Linked DNA regions of Schizosaccharomyces pombe. The gene in region 4 interacts genetically with the main gene of each other region. Each region holds a gene or a part of one and is shown on either strand. Other genes may lie near its edges.

What was found.
Region 1: mutations in plb5 (region 4) and dbl1 together harm fitness more than expected from each alone (negative genetic interaction), as found in Schizosaccharomyces pombe (one large-scale study listed by BioGRID).
Region 2: mutations in plb5 (region 4) and ura3 together harm fitness more than expected from each alone (negative genetic interaction), as found in Schizosaccharomyces pombe (one large-scale study listed by BioGRID).
Region 3: mutations in plb5 (region 4) and cys11 together harm fitness more than expected from each alone (negative genetic interaction), as found in Schizosaccharomyces pombe (one large-scale study listed by BioGRID).

The regions. Positions count from the first base shown.
Region 1 is NC_003421.2:831,514-835,178, reverse strand, and holds dbl1 (protein Dbl1), read left to right. Parts: upstream 1-1,799; 5' UTR 1,800-2,178; coding exon 2,179-2,832; 3' UTR 2,833-3,113; downstream 3,114-3,665. Other genes in the region: aah3 (GPI-anchored glycosyl hydrolase family 13 protein), read left to right, coding at 1-1,213; mitochondrial LYR family protein Lyr2, read right to left, coding at 3,137-3,665.
Region 2 is NC_003424.3:1,384,791-1,388,983, reverse strand, and holds ura3 (mitochondrial dihydroorotate dehydrogenase Ura3), read left to right. Parts: upstream 1-1,838; 5' UTR 1,839-2,142; coding exon 2,143-3,474; 3' UTR 3,475-3,627; downstream 3,628-4,193. Other genes in the region: ATP-dependent DNA replication ligase Cdc17, read right to left, coding at 1-347, 410-917, 958-1,040; disulfide relay system thiol oxidase subunit Mia40, read left to right, coding at 3,898-4,192. UniProt on the Schizosaccharomyces pombe protein: In the de novo pyrimidine biosynthesis pathway, catalyzes the stereospecific oxidation of (S)-dihydroorotate to orotate with reduction of flavin and the transfer of electrons to ubiquinone, which is part of the respiratory chain.
Region 3 is NC_003423.3:846,256-849,985, reverse strand, and holds cys11 (cysteine synthase), read right to left. Parts: upstream 2,067-3,730; 5' UTR 2,002-2,066; coding exon 1,869-2,001; intron 1,724-1,868; coding exon 801-1,723; 3' UTR 501-800; downstream 1-500. Other genes in the region: class 1 histone deacetylase Clr6, read left to right, coding at 1-91, 132-240, 288-346, 398-477.
Region 4 is NC_003421.2:1,740,674-1,745,481, reverse strand, and holds plb5 (phospholipase Plb5), read left to right. Parts: upstream 1-2,022; coding exon 2,023-3,894; 3' UTR 3,895-4,280; downstream 4,281-4,808.

The DNA.
Region 1 (3,665 bases), 910 kb from region 4:
TTTTAACAAGGAGAGCTACTTCCATCCGTACTGTCTTATTGATTGGGATATCACAGATAATGAGACGAACGTAATGGATTGTTGGCAAGATTCTGGTGTATTGTTGGCCGATTTGGATGTCGAAAGTTCAGACGTTTCTTCCTATTTGAGTGATCATTTCAAAAGTCTTATTTCTAAATACGATTTTGATGGACTGCGTATTGATGCTGTGAAAATGATGAACTACACATTCTTTCCTGATTTCGTTGATGCTACGGGTGTTTACAGCGTTGGTGAAGTTTTCTCTTATGATCCTGATACTATGTGTAGTTACATGAGTGTCCTTCCTGGAGTTACCAATTACTTTTTGCAGTTGTACATAAACTTCTCTTTTACTGCTACTGGTGCTGGATTCACTCTTATTCCCACTTACCAGGAGGTAATGGCTTCAAACTGTTCAAAATATGATAGTACTTTAATGTTGACTTTTATCGAAAATCACGATTTGTACAGATTTCCTTATTACACAAGTGACCAGTCACAGATTATGGGGGCTTTGTCATTTGTGTTGATTTGGGACGGCATACCCTCAATTTTCTACGGACAAGAACAGGGATTCAATGGTGGTGAGGATCCTGCTAATCGTCCTGCACTTTGGCTTACTGATTACGATCAATCAAACCCGTACTATACCGTTATTAAAACGATGGTTGCATTTAGAAAGTTTGTCATTACTCAGGATCCGGATTGGGTCACTTCCACATATCAATCGATCGAATCTGCTGTTGATCACTATGTTGGACAAAAAAATGATGTTCTCGTCATGTTCAATAATATGGGAGTTACCAACAACCTTACAATTTATGAAGTTGAGACGAATTACACTGCCAATGAAGTAGTCTCTGATGTCTTCGGTCACAGAACTTTAACCGTTGGTGCCGATAAAACCTTGACTGCCAGTATGACCAACGGATATCCCTTGATTATGTATCCACATTCGAAGATGTCTGGTTTTACATTACCAACTGTCAATCGTACAGTCATGCCATCTACATCGGCAACTGCCACAACCACTGTCTATACCTCTTATTACTCTCCTTCTTATTCTGCCAGATCATTTACTGGTACTGGTAGTATATTTACGATCTCTTCATCATCTAGACTTATCCTTTCTTTCAAGACTTTAGTTTTTGGCTTGGGTGTTACCGCAATGCTCTTTGTTTTATTCTTCTAGAATGCCCAAATAACCGCGTTAATTTTTAAAATTTTAACAATTTGCGTTTTTTTCGTCAAGGAAGGTCATTTTTTGGGTTGAATCTAATAACCATATAATGAGAATGAGTTAATTTATGCCTACAGCTTATTCTTGTTCTGATGCTTTAATCTCTCACTTGTTATTATTTGTCTTTGTAAACCTTTTTTTATCATACATATCTTTTAAACTGGCATATCTATTGTCTTGGAGCAGAAATGAAAAAAATTATCTGCCTAGTGGAATAGTCAATGAAAAGTAATATTGCATTTTTTAACAACCAAATGAAAAAGTACAGTTCTTATGCGTAGTTTCGCTTTACATCAAAAACATTTGCTTACATTGGTAAGTAAAAATAAAAAAATTTATCGAGTAGACATGTTGTTAGTATATTAAGGTGTAGGTCATCCAATATCACCATAAGCTCATAAAATTTGTACTTAAACTTATATTCTTTTCTAACGCTTTCATTTAAATTTAATAGTTTTTTGATGGAAAAGTCACATAATTGCAGGTGTTACTTAACATTGGTTTACGTTACAATCATTGAACATTTCTAAAATTCCCCATTCCACGGACCCGTATTCATATTCCATTTGTAATTAAAGAAAGTTTTGTTCTTGGATAAAGGTAACCAGTAGTTACTAAAAAGTTCGAACTTTTGGGACCTTCAGATGTCTTTAACCTAAACGACCGCGTAATTTGCTATTGTTTACATGTTGTGTTTCAACTGCTAAATTAACAGGAGAAGGAGAATAATTGTAAGCTAGCAGATACTGTGTGGAGCGATCTTTGTCGAACAGGCAGTATTCGTTTTGTCTGGAGACCTTACCTGAGATTCTGATACTAAACGTTGTAATCATCTTAGAGTAACTGGATCACTCGTTTAATTCTTTAAAAGTGAACTGAAAAATATTTTTACCATTTAACTCATTGCACGTTTGAGGATGCAAGATTCTTCCAAAAATAAACAACCATGCGTCTCATGGAAAGTTTCTCCTTTAAAAGCGAAAGCCATGTCTCCTGATGATGTCTCAAGGCTTTTTTGTAAATCCAGTACTAGTAGCGCTACTCGGAAGCATGATCCTTTTCATAAGCTATGGGATCGCTTACAACCAAAAGCACAATCCACTATTCAACGGACATCTTCATTGCCTGTTCCTTCGTCAAGTAATTTTAAAGAGAGATTAAATAATATAGGAGGACTTAAGAGGTCAAGGACATTGGAAAGCTCCTATGAAGATGAAACAGAGACTGCAAATAAGCTGTCACGGGTTTCTAGTTTGGTGAGCGTGATACGACAAACTATAGATCGCAAAAAATCACTAGAAAGAAGGGTAAGGGAAGAACAAGAAGAGAAGACAGATAATGAGGATGATAATGATGTCGAAATATCTACTCAGGAATCCCTGGAAAACAATGGTTTAGCGGAAAAGAAGGATGATACTTCATCACTTGCTACGTTGGAAGATGACATTGAGGGCCAAGAATTTTCGTTTGATGACCAAGATTTACAAATGCTTCAGGACATAGAAGACCAATGGCTCAGTTCTCAAAAACAGCAAGGTTCTCCTCTAACATCAGATCATATAAGCAAATAGAAAACGCTATTCGTAGTTTGACGGTTGGGCTAATGATTGTTGTATTTCCGCAAAGTATACCATGTAAATTTTTAAGCTTGTTATTTTGGGAAAAGAGTTTCGCAAGCACAATGTGAATACTACTGTATATGTACTGCCGCGATTAAGAACTGCAATGCACGAATTGCTTGCTTTACAACTTTATTACGTCTCCAAGGCGAGTGTATGTTTCTAAAATTTTTTTATGTTTGATATATACAAAATAATAATAATTATGATATTCGTCGTAAACTTCTCTCAGAAGCTAATTAAAGAATTAAATACATCAAGGTGAAGAGCGTCGAGATACCTTCCAAAAGTTTAGATATCTATTTTCGAGTTTTTGTCTAGCTGCTTCTAACTCAAGCATGTTGTAAAATTGCGAAACGATATGCCAATTTTTTGATTCTCGTTTGTAAATAGAATCGAGATCACTTAAAACCATTTGTATGCATTTATGAATCTCATCAGCATACCCAACATCCTCCTCTGAAATGTATGCCTTCATAAATTCATCTTCAAGTTTAGCATGGCGTAGCATACAGCTCATGCTTTGGATGAGACGATGTTTATTCTCTTTCATAGTTATCCTTTTTTTTAACATTCCACTTATTCTCTGACTTTGAGGCCAGAATTTGGGGCGTAAAAACGTATCTCCTCCAGTAGTACTTACTAAATGATATAGCACTTCACCATTGCGCACATAATTAAATATTGAATTGGACTTTAGCTTTTTTGTTTTCGTATGCGGTTTTGTTATCCCAACATCTCCTTGTTTTCCACCTTCATTTAAGTATTTTCGATACTTAGATAGC
Region 2 (4,193 bases), on a different chromosome or scaffold from region 4:
TGGAGGCGTAGCTTGCCTTCCAAAGCTCGAATCAAATATTTAGGTTCTGCACCTTCACAGGAACTCAATAGCCGCTTGATCACTCCAATTTTTCTATTTTGGGATTGGTTTCCGCTCATTTGAGCAATTTTTTTTAATGAGTCAAATAAAAATGGAATTGTCAGCGCTGCAGGTTTAAACATAGTGGGTTGATTTTGACGGGATGTTTGAGCTACAAGACCAAGATCACCAACTTTGTGAAACGATAGTTTAATCTGTTGAAGCGTTTGCCCTGTAGACTCTCCAATAGCCTTCATTATAATGCTTTCGCCAATTCCTAGCTCTAGTCCCGAGTAATCTGGGCCCAACTAATGTAAAAAAAGACGTTAGTACTGAGAAGGAGAAATCCTTTAAAACCAAACGTTCATACCTTATTGATACTTAAATACACACAGGCCAGTAAATCGCTGGGATGGTCGCGAAGAATTCCAAAAAAGTAAGTCCCCATTATATCAATGATTTCCAACCGTTTGCTAGTATTCTCTATTTTTGTGAATGCTTTTACCATTTCAGCAAATGTTGCATGACCTTTTAACTTATCATTGCGAGCATTGGACTCTAACGGTGGTTCTTTGATTGGCAAAGGTATTGGAGTAGATGCCCCAGAATCGTTGTTACTAGATACGGCATCTGAAGAAGAGGAGGATGAACCTAAAGTCTTTTGCTTTTTTGCCTCAGACACAATATTATTTTCACGCTCAACATTTTGAGTTCCAGTGTCGTCGTGGTTGTTGTGTTTCGACTCGTCGACTAATTTCACTGATTCGACCTTTCTCTTTTCGCTTGTGCTTCTCCCATCAACATTTTTGGAATCAGAAGACGATTGAGAAACCTCCACGTGCTCGCTTTTGTGCGAAGCAGAAGAAATGAAGAAGTTGCTATATGGGTTAGTCAACGTCTGTCTTCTATCTAACAAACCTAATGTCTGACTGCCTTGTCGACATCCGTATGTACTGATTGACTTGTTTAAAACGAGGAATTTGCGAAAATACTGTTCGCATAACAATCAAGTCAACGAGTAAAGAATTTCATAAGATTTGACAATAGTGAGGGTACACCTGAAGAACAAGTAACACGTGTACGATATTTGTAGTTTAAGGACAGTGAAAACGAAACCATTTTTTTCTAAGTCTATATAGATGAAATTAATTTTTATGATTATAACAGGATAATATAAAAGCTATTTATCATTGATATAGTATGAGTGTTCCTTGTCTCATTCATAAATACTATTGACTTAATCAACTCTCTCCCAACGCTCTGTACATCATAAATACAGCTAGAAAAAATGAGAAGTTGAATTGTATAGAAATGCTTTAGTCATACCAGAAATGAACAATTGCCTGTATCAACGAACGTAATAGAAACAATTTGGAAATACATTGCTAGAAGTTTATCAACTAGATTCTAACCATTTAAAAAAAAAAGAAATTTAAATCAACAAAAATTAAAATAAATTCCTAATAGGCTTATTCGCTAATGTGTAGTGGTTTGTAGTTTTTTTGCAAAAAGCTGTTCGCACTTGTTTTTCAAGTGGATTTTGTCCTTAAATTTTTAAAATTTTTCTTTTTCAAATTTTTTATGAAATGTTAATTCGAAAGCAAAAACTATCATAAAATTGTTTATAACCATCGCTTTATTTACAAAACTCATAGTCAAATTTCGACAGCCCGGCATTACTAAAAAAACATGTTACCTGTTACAGGTAACATTCAATATAAACATTCAATTTTTGATTTTTGTTCTTTCTCAGAGAATATACCTCTGCTAGCACTTGGAGAAATTTTTTCGGTTCTGAAATCTTTGTTTTCGTTGAAATCTTATTAGAACCAAGTTCTCCATTTTATATAAATTAACACTTCTTGTCTCTAGGTGGATAAAGAAACGGATTGACGATTCTGTTCTGATCCTTAAATCCATATTTTTATTTTTTGGTTCTGTTTATTTTTTCTTGGGTTTGTTGTGTTTGGAAAAAAACTGGTGTTTAAATATATTAAGCATAAACTATTATAAAACTTCATTTTATTATTTTATCATTCATATTTTTTTCAATTTCGTTTTGAAAATTTTTTATTTAAGCCGAATTCTATTAAAAATACTAAAATGTATCAACGATCTTTGTTTCGCGGTGTCGCTCAGGGTTTAAAGCGCTCCTCTGTACGTTTTCAATCTACCAGCTCTGGCTCTTCAAATGGCAATTTCTTTCTCCGTCATTGGAAGCTTTTGAGTGTTATTGGTAGTTTTACTGCCGGCGTTGCCATTTACGACATGTCCGATGTTCGTAGTTTTATCCATGGCCGCATTGAAATGCCTCTCTTTCATGCTTTCACCACTCCTGAGTTTTCTCATCGTGTCGCCATTCTCGCTGCCTCTTGGGGTATAACACCGAAGGATCGTGTAGCTGATGATCCATCTCTTGCCGTTGAAGTTTGGGGTAAGAAATTTTGCAATCCCATTGGTCTAGCTGCTGGTTTCGATAAACAAGCCGATGCTATCTCAGGTTTGTTGAACTTCGGGTTTTCCTATCTTGAAATTGGCTCGGTCACACCTAAACCTCAACCTGGTAATCCTAAACCACGCTATTTCCGCCTTAAGCCTGATTTGTCTGTAATCAATCGTTACGGTTTTAATTCTATCGGCCATGATGCCATCCTTGCTAAGATTCAAAAGCGCGTTCGCAAATACATTGCTAAGACATCTCCTCAACTATTAAAACAGTTTGATGCAAATCCCGCTTCTTGCACTGATCCCGCTGTCCTTGGCGTACCTCGTAGTTTAATTCCTAACAAGTTCCTTGGTATCAATTTAGGCAAGAATAAGAACGGTAACGAGATTGAGGATTATGTTGAAGGTGTTCGTACCTTTGGTAACTTCGCTGACATTCTTGTCATTAACGTTTCCTCTCCTAATACCCCTGGTCTTCGTAACCTACAAAAGAAATCTGCCCTCTCAACTTTATTGACTGCTGTTGTCAGTGAGCGCAATAAATTGAACTCTCCTCATCCTCCCGTACTTGTAAAAATTGCACCTGATTTGAACGAAGAAGAACTCACGGACATTGCCGATGTCCTCAAAAAGTGCAAGATTGACGGTGTGATCGTTGGTAATACTACCGTTCAACGCCCTAAGACCCTCAAATCAACTAGCCATGTTGAAGAGACGGGTGGTCTTTCTGGACCTCCTCTCAAACCTATCGCATTAAATACTCTTCGCACACTTCGTAAGCATCTTTCTTCCGATATTCCCATCATCGGCTGTGGTGGTATTTCTTCTGGCAAAGATGCTATTGAGTATGCTCGTGCTGGTGCAACTATGGTTCAAGTTTATACTGCTTTGGGATATGATGGTCCTGTAATTGCTCACAAGATTAAGCAAGAGATTCTTGCCGAGCTTAAGGGCAAACGTTGGGTTGACATAATTGGCAAGGAAGAATAGATTGGGATGTCAGTATATTTCTTTTAAAGAAAAAATTCAGTGTCGTTTACTGGTACATTATTATAGTAAAAATTTAACATATTATAGAAAATAATACTCACGTTCTTCTAATTAAATATTATAAATGAATTACCTTTTGTTTTGCATACCTAAGTTTGCTTGTGAAACTATTATGTCGCTAGTTTAATTCTATTATGAAATTAGTCATTCAGGCATTTCTTAGTAATCTCGTAAATCCTGCCAGTCTTGCTTGTCTTACATTTGTGAATACCTATTTACTTAAATCTGATTTAAAAAACATGCAAACTTATATAAACTTAGAATGAATGACAAAGTTACGTTCTTGTAAGATCGTCGCCGCTTTCTGACCATTACGCAGACATTAGAAGTTCAGAGCTCAACTTCCCATAAATCAAAAAAACCATGTTTGCTAAAAACTTACTTTTCAGATTTCCAAAATGTATAAGGATTAACGGTTACAATAATATGAGAAGGTCTCTACTGCAGAGAAATGGATTTCAAGCAGGCATTTGTCGAAAATTTGGTACTGCAACCAAAACTGATGTATGGAAAGGCCGTTTTTTGCCTATTGTATCTGGCGTTGCAGCTGCTTCTTTGACTGCTGGATATTTACTTGGAAAAAACACTTCAAATGCATCATCGAGTCAAGATAATGACCATCCTGTTGTAGGCGAACATGTCCATACGGAAACACAATG
Region 3 (3,730 bases), on a different chromosome or scaffold from region 4:
TGCGTTGGAGGAGGTGGATATACTGTACGGAATGTTGCCCGTGTCTGGACTTATGAAACTGGTCTTTTAGCCGGCGAAGAGCTTGATGAAAGTAAGTACCAATACGTAAATTGTTTATTAACCCATCCAAGACCTTCCTTATAATGACTATTTACAATATTACGGTCCCGATTACAAGCTCAATGTTCTTTCAAACAATATGGAAAACCATAACACTCGGCAGTATCTTGATTCGATAACGTATGCTACCTTTTGAGTTTTATTCTTACGAGGCTGACCAAATTTAGCTCTGAAATCATCGAAAATTTGAGAAACTTATCTTTTGCACCTAGCGTTCAAATGCATAGTAAGTATAAGCGGTTATCGAAAAATGTGCTAACAAATACTCTTACATTAGAAACTCCCGGTGACTTTACGTTTGAAAATGCCGAAAAGCAGAACATTGCGAAAGAAGAGATTATGGATGAGCGCGTATAGACCTATATAAAATTTTGTATGTTCATGGTGTTTGAATCCATTATACTCGGTTTTTTTGTGTTATTTGAATCATGAATACTATAAAAGCTATTATGTTTAAATACCCTTATTTATAAGAATTCTCCAGCATAATTAGACTTCAGCATTAAATTGAAAATGCTCATTACATATAATAACAAACACTTTATATTCTATACTCTAGATGTGACTTGTGGTTTTAAAAAAAAAGGAATAGCCAAAAAATTAACGCACAAAGAAAGAAGAAACGGAAATCACAAGGTAGTAGTAATTATATGTCTATCCGAAGTAAAAGGTCAAAACAATTAAGGAAGTACAATATACTTCTTGTATTGTGGCTCAATTACATCAAATAATTTTTTACTTTCAAGGAATGAGCGACTGAATAAACGAGTGGCATACTTGTGACCAGAATCACAAAGAATTGTAACCACCGTCTTGCCAGGACCTAATATTTTAGCCATTTCAACAGCAGCGACCACATTTAAGCAAGAAGAGCCGCCCAAGAAAAGACCTTCTTGGTCTAACAAACGAAAGAACATGTTAATAGATTTTTCGTCAGGGATTTTCATAGCATCGTCAATGAGATCGTAAACAGGTTGGACATTTCCAGTAATACGACCTTGACCAATGCCTTCGGTAAATGAAGAACCCTTGTTGTCAGGATGCTTACCCTTCGTTTTGATATGGCTATACAAAACACTTCCAGGGGGATCAGCCACGAAAGAAGCAACACGACCGTCGGACTTCTCCTTCAAATACTTGGTAACGCCGGCAAAAGTACCACCAGTACCAGTAGAGCAGGTAAAGCCGTCAACGGTACCTTTGGTTTGATCCCAAATTTCAGGACCAGTGGTTTCGTAGTGAGACAGTAAGTTAGCGACGTTATCGAACTGATCAGTCCAAGAAGCATTCGGAGTAGACTCAGCGTGACGACGGGCCTGATGGTTATAATTGAGAGGGTTGGAAAAGGGAGCAACAGGTACGGGATGAACCTCGGCACCCAAAAACTTAAGGGTATCGATTTTAGCTTGAGATTGGGTATTTGGCATGTAAATCACGCATTTATAACCTCTTGCTCTAGCAATGTGAGCAAGACCAATACCAGTGTTACCGGCAGTCCCCTCGACAATTGTGCCACCTCTAGAGAGTTTTCCTTTTTTCTCGGCATCGCGTACCACGTAGTAAGCAGCTCTATCCTTGACGCTTCCTCCGGGATTTTGGAATTCTTAAAAAATTTGCAATTAGTATACATGAAAGCAATTAAAAAGAAATAAAGGTATAGGATTGCCATTCAATTGAGAAACCTCGACGTTTCAAAATTGTTTAGCAAAACGAGACCCATTAAACAACGCCCTATATCAAAAACATACCAGCTTTGGCAAGGATATTGCATCCCGTCTCGTTCGACAGCGTATTCAGTCTAATTAAAGGAGTACGACCAATTGCCCCAATGAATCCGCTAACGATTCCTGGAACCTTCGTTTGAATACCGCTAGTAGCCATGTTGTAGTACTAACTGCGAATTACTGTATATCACAGTAATTTCCTCTAAACACTTGGGCGAAGGCAAAGAGCACTGTAGTAGGATAGGTGATATTTATGAAGAAGATGACGCGATCGTCACGCGGAATTCAAACACCGGCAAATAGTGGAATTCGCAATTCTTTACTTTAATGAAGAATTTAAAACTACAGAAAGTCGTACGATAAGGCGTCCATTGTTAAAATTCTTTATCAATGTCTTTAATGGGATGTACGGATGTGATATTGTTAAATGTGTTTAAGTAATTGTAACGAGGAATGCAAAGATGGGGATGGAGGTGAAAAGGACATAGAATGAATAGCGTATTATAAGGGTTATTATTTGAGAAAGGTTTTTACGTTTATAATATTTATTAATTGGTTAATTTTTATTTATTTTATTTTTACGTTTATTAATTTTTACTCTTTTAATTTTTTTTATTATTTTTTTTTTTTTTACTTTTTTTTATTTTTTTACTTTTTTTTATTTTTTTATTTTTTTTTTTTTTTCTATTGCGTTGTCAAATTTTTTTCCTCAAGCATTTTATTCCTACTAATATTAAAAATTGTACGGCTATGTTCGACTATATCGACACAATGGCTACTCGTTTGAACGCTTGCTGTTTGATTGATTTCTAGTCTATTAACAAGAAAATCACATTTCAGTAACTCCTTGATTGTCGTTGCGTATAAAGAAAGCAAAGTAAGAGAACATTGGAGGTTTCCAATAAATTTTTTACGGAATAACTATTGAAAGCGTTTATTTGTATATTATAAAACTATTATTTTTTAAAAATTGTTTGTTATATGACAAGTGTTGTTGTCATGATCTTTTGATTTCATAATGAAAACTTATAATAGCGAAATTCACAGATGAAAAAAAATTATCCGCTATATCTCGTAATTTATTGCCTTTTGTCAGCAATACTACACTACGCTATGATACACTACGTTGCGTATCACTATATGTCATATGTTCTAATTATATATCGTACCATGTATGATACGATATGGAGATTAATCTTGATGATAATCTATTAAGATCTATATTATCTGAATACTATAAATAGAGCTACCACTGAACTGAGGAACGAGGTTCAGTTATGAGCTATATTAGTGATAGGTAACATTATAACCCAGTTAATACAATACCTATACTCAGTTGCTACTTATACAACCTGTGTATTGTAATATAAATAGACCACAAGGAAAACTCACCGCAGTTCTACGTATCCTTAAATCAGATACCAAACTGCGTAGCTTACACCTTTGCGTTTTTGTGTATTTGTAATTCTAACTTTACGAACTCGAATGAAATCTAGTGCAATATAAGAGTTGCAAAAAATAAATAATAAATTTACACAAGAAGGAATAAATGAATTAGAGAAAGAGATGAAAATGTTTAGCTAGTTTAACTGCTCCAATCCTTTTTTATTTCAGTTACTTCAACACACTATTATTTATTACTTCTTTTTAGCAATATTCACCCGCTTAACATCATCAGCAACACTTTCCGTACCATCCCTTTCCCCGGCAAAACCGAGCTTTTTGGATACAAAAACCGAACTGGGCTGGCAAAAGCAAGCCATGGCATACGTAAGTATTAATGTTTATTTTACCTCCAGTTACAATATATAAATACAGGTAGTCATGTTACAATTAAAACCGATTCGCATCCCAGCTCGCATGCTGAAAACACAAACTTGAATATG
Region 4 (4,808 bases):
TTTGTGATTTTGGACGAGTTGTTGCTTAACTTGTATTGCGAAACTTACTATAATACAGTATTCGTTGACCTTAATACCTCAACTGCCTTTGCTACGCTAAGGATTCATCACATACCGATGACACTTCAGTAGTTCTTTAAATTTATTTAAGACGTACAAGCCAGTGCATAATCTAGGTTTACAAAACTCTTTGTTATAGCTCCTTAGACACGGGAACTAAGCAAAGGAGGTATACAGTCTGGATACACGGGAACTCTTAAACAAAGTGTAAAATAATGTATCTCTTAATAACTCTGTCGAAATGGTTATATATCACATTGTGAGCTTGTTACAATACCTTATAGCTTTGCATTTAGTTCAGTGCAGTTTCTTATGTTTGTGTTTTGGGTTTGTAAAGTATGATAAAACGAGAGAGATATTTTGACAAACTGATGAAATTCAAGATCTACTGTATCAGCTTATAACTGGAATAGAAAGAAAGAATATAAAGGCTACAATGTAGCCATGTGCGGTCAACGTTTAGACTGCCGATCTTATGACCTAACTAAAGCGATCGCTATTCAGATCCATTTCTGCTTGTAGGGATGAGACTTTGTAGAATAGCAAATCTGTAAATTAACAAATCTTCAAATTTTGTTGCATCAAGCAATAACTTCTACTCTATCTGTTTCTATCAATGGTTTTTCATATCTCGAATTGAAATATTTCCAATGTGAATCAACTAAAAACATCGCACCCCATTACCTTATTGAATATTCGAATTTGGGGATTTCCTAGAAGAGTTGGACATTAAATGACGTTAATAGAAGTAAAAAAAAAATAGAAAGTCGTTTCATCATGGACTTGTCGATGATTTGCATTACCAGACAATTTTACATCCGTGAGTTCGCAGCAATCGGGTTGGTATCCGTTTATAAATTTAGCCGTTGATATTCATCCCGTCATTTAAAGCTGAGCCTAGGTTGATCTAAATATTCCATTATAGAATCGCTGAAATATTTATTGAATAGGGCATAAATGGTACCCATGAATGCTAATGATAACTAGGCAATCCAACTCCAACTGGCATCTAAAGACTTAGTAATATGACCACCATTTCATAATCTCACGGTGCTACATATAGAAAATCGTTAACATCATAGATGGCATCTTCGGAGTTCCTTCTAGTCCACGCCGAATTGCGGATCAAGGTAAGCAGATCATGAGAAACGTGGGTCATGCGAAAAGTGAGTCTACAAGTGAGTTCATCCTCAAAAGCCTATATATATTATATATATAGCACTTGGGAATAAATGAATAAAGGTTGCAACTTTAGTGATTGAATCGGTAAATCCCGTTAAAACAAACAATCAGTGATTCATCCTTCTTTAGTGTGATCTGTGTAGGTAAGCAAGCAATTTACAAATGCCTAGAAAGTTGGCAAGGCCGGTTTGTGTTTGGCAAGGAAATGAGCAAAAACGTCTGTCTATTCCTAAAACGGACGGTGGGTAAGCAAAATCCCAACTTGAAAATTTGAATTGGGATTTTTTTATTTCAATGGAAAAAGATAGGTTAAATCATAAAAAAGAACATGATATTATTTTCTTGGAAATATGTCGAAATCCTGTCTCATCCCAACCTTTTCGACAAAACTAGGTGTCCTGATGGAAATATAGTTTAAGCTCATCGCTTGCCGAACCGCTCCATCAAATGCTTAATTTGCTTTTATTGACATTGTAGCTCGACGGACTCTCTAGATATCTAAATATTTTTCGTTGAACTTACTAGATTGGGAATTGACAATTGAAAGCTCTTTAATTGATTACTTTCATTGTCTTGATTTTTTTCATTCTCAGAAAATTTCAAAAAATTCAGACTTTAGAAACTCGCTGTTTGTTAATCACTCTCTTGCTTTTTTTGGATTCAGAGAAAATTGAAAAATTCGAACTTTTTTTAAAAACGAATCATTGACCGTATTCTATCCTTTTATCCTTTATTAAACCAACCTTGCTTTTTTAATTTTTATTTTATTTTTTTTTAAACATGAAATTATCTTCCTTTGGATTATTTCTCGCTCTCCAGCTTTTGCCGGCCTTGGGCCTTCCTTCTCGTATCGATGAAGTAGACGTTTCAGACCCAGAACTAATCGGATTATTGAAACCCGATAACGTTGATAAGCCAGCAAACTCTATACCCCTTTCCAAGCGTAGCACAAGCCCATCGTATGCGCCTTATACTGTTGCTTGCCCTAGTGGCTCTCTGCTTCGACCTGCCTCCGATGGCCTTAGTACTGGTGAACAAGAATTTGTTGACAAACGTGTCTCAAAGGTTAACAGTGCATTGGAAAGCTTTATTTCAAAAACCGGCTTAAAAATCGATACAAAAAGTGTGCTGAATGACACAGATGGCCCTCGTTTGGGAATTGCAATCTCTGGCGGTGGATTTCCTGCCATGTTAACGGGAGCCGGCGCTATTAATGCATTTGATGCTAGAAATGGTAACACTACGTCTCTTGGTGGTATTCTTCAATCTTCCATGTACCTTACTGGTCTTTCTGGTGGCTCTTGGCTTGTGGGATCTGTTGCGGTTAACAACTTTGCCAATATTACTTTCTTGCACGACGACGTTTGGAACCTGGACCACAGTCTCTTCGCTCCCTATGACGACGCTTTTGAGAACTTTTATATTTACCAAGAGTGGTTTGAGCAAGTTCTGCAAAAGAAGAATGCTGGATTCAATGTCTCCATTACTGACCTTTGGGGCCGTGCTTTGGCTCTTAAGCTTGTCAATCCTTTGACTGGAGGTGCTAATACTACATTCTCTAGTGTAACAAATGAAACGTGGTTCCAGGATGGTGAATTTCCCTTTCCCATCATCATTGCTGATAATGTCATAGAGGGTGAAACCGTAATCCCTTTGAACGACACTGTCTTTGAATTTACACCCATCGAATTTGGTACTTGGGACACTGGGGTGGAATCATTTATACCCATGGAGTATACAGGTACACACCTTATTAATGGCATTCCTCTTAATGAATCCTGTGTGCGTAATTTCGACAACGCTGGTTTCCTCATGGGTACCTCTTCAAATGTTTTTAGCGGTATCCTTCCTGCGACAAATGCATCACTCACCGCTAGTAATAATACCTTTAACAATGCTGTCCTTAGTTTCCTCGAAATGCTTGCCGAAGATCAATTGGATGTAGGTCTTTATCCCAACCCTTACCAAGGTTATGGAAATGCTTCCAATACAACCACTACCAATCCCTTGGAGCCGTATCCCATTATTGAATTAATAGACGGTGGCTCAGATAGTGAAGGTATTCCCTTTTGGCCCTTGCTTCATCCACAAAGAGACGTAGATGTTATTTTTGCGATTGACGGGGGTTATCAAAGCGCAACGAGTGGATGGCCAGATGGATCGTCCCTAGTTTCTACATATGAAAGAGTTTTAGCCACTAACTCCTCTGGCGTTCGTGGTTTCCCATATATTCCTGATACCAACACATTTTTGGCTCTTGGTTTGAACACTCATCCAACTTTCTTCGGTTGCGACGGTAGAAACACCACAGCCGGAAACCATACCGTTAATGACGATACTCCTCCTCTTGTAGTTTACTTCCCCAACTATCCTTGGACTATGTATGCAAATGTCACTACCTACACTGTTCAACTGGAAGATACTTTGTCCAGTGGAATGATTGAAAATGCCGCTGTTGCTGCTACCCAAAATAACAGTGATTCATTTGCTGTCTGCGTTGCATGCGCTCTCGTTCAACGTTCCTTGGAACGCAAAAACATGTCGACTCCAAGTCAATGTGCTTCTTGCTTTAATCAATACTGTTGGAATGGAACAATTGCAAGCACGACCGTTACTACATATGCACCTACAGTTCTGTCAGCCAAGATTTAGTATGCAACGCTCACGACAATCCATTTTGTTCGATCTTTTCCATGGTAGCATAGAGCGTAAAGCATTGAAACACTAATGTTCATATATTCACTAATCTAAGAACCAGCAAAAGTCGGCTCTTTACTTATTGCTCATAAACAACGAGAAGGAAGATATAGTGAATAAATATAGGAATGAAAAAAGCTTCAAGAAGCCATTAACACCATCGAATTTGAATTCCTAAGCTCTAAATGACACTAATTTATGTAACCTTTGCAGAAATGTTTCAACTCAAATACTGTGTCAGCAGTAGTCCAGCACGCTACGATATACTACGTTGCGTAGCACTATATGTCATGCTAAAATATACATAACATTAGTTTATTGATGATTGTAGCTGTTTGTCCATCTATCTACACAAGTTACACATTGGTAGCAACTAGAGAAAAATATAAATAGAGCTACCACTGAACCTCATTCCTCAGTTCAGTTATTGGCTATATCGGTGACCGATACTACTAGACTTTTTATAACAATAAATATAATATTATTAGTTAACAAAGCGCATACCGCTATGTTGTAAATCCCTAGAAATCTCGCCGCAGTGCTATATATCGTTAAACCAGATACCAAACTGCGTAGCTGACATTATAATTATACTACAACGTTTGCTTCTCAAAAACGTTTTAAGGAAAGCTAAGTTAGGGTAAATAAAAAGGGCAGTGACAAAATAAATGTGTCAGAAGCAATTGCATTTTGAAAATGAGTTTTCGAATTTTAACTTTTACCTACTATTATTAAAGAGAGAAGTCTTCTTTGAAAGAAATTGCTCGTTTTTTATGTTGAACGGCTGAAATTGGGCTCCAGAGTGAAAATTCTTGATTTCGCTGTTTCGTTTGTCGCAATTATAGCAATTAATTCGCGCATGTATTTTA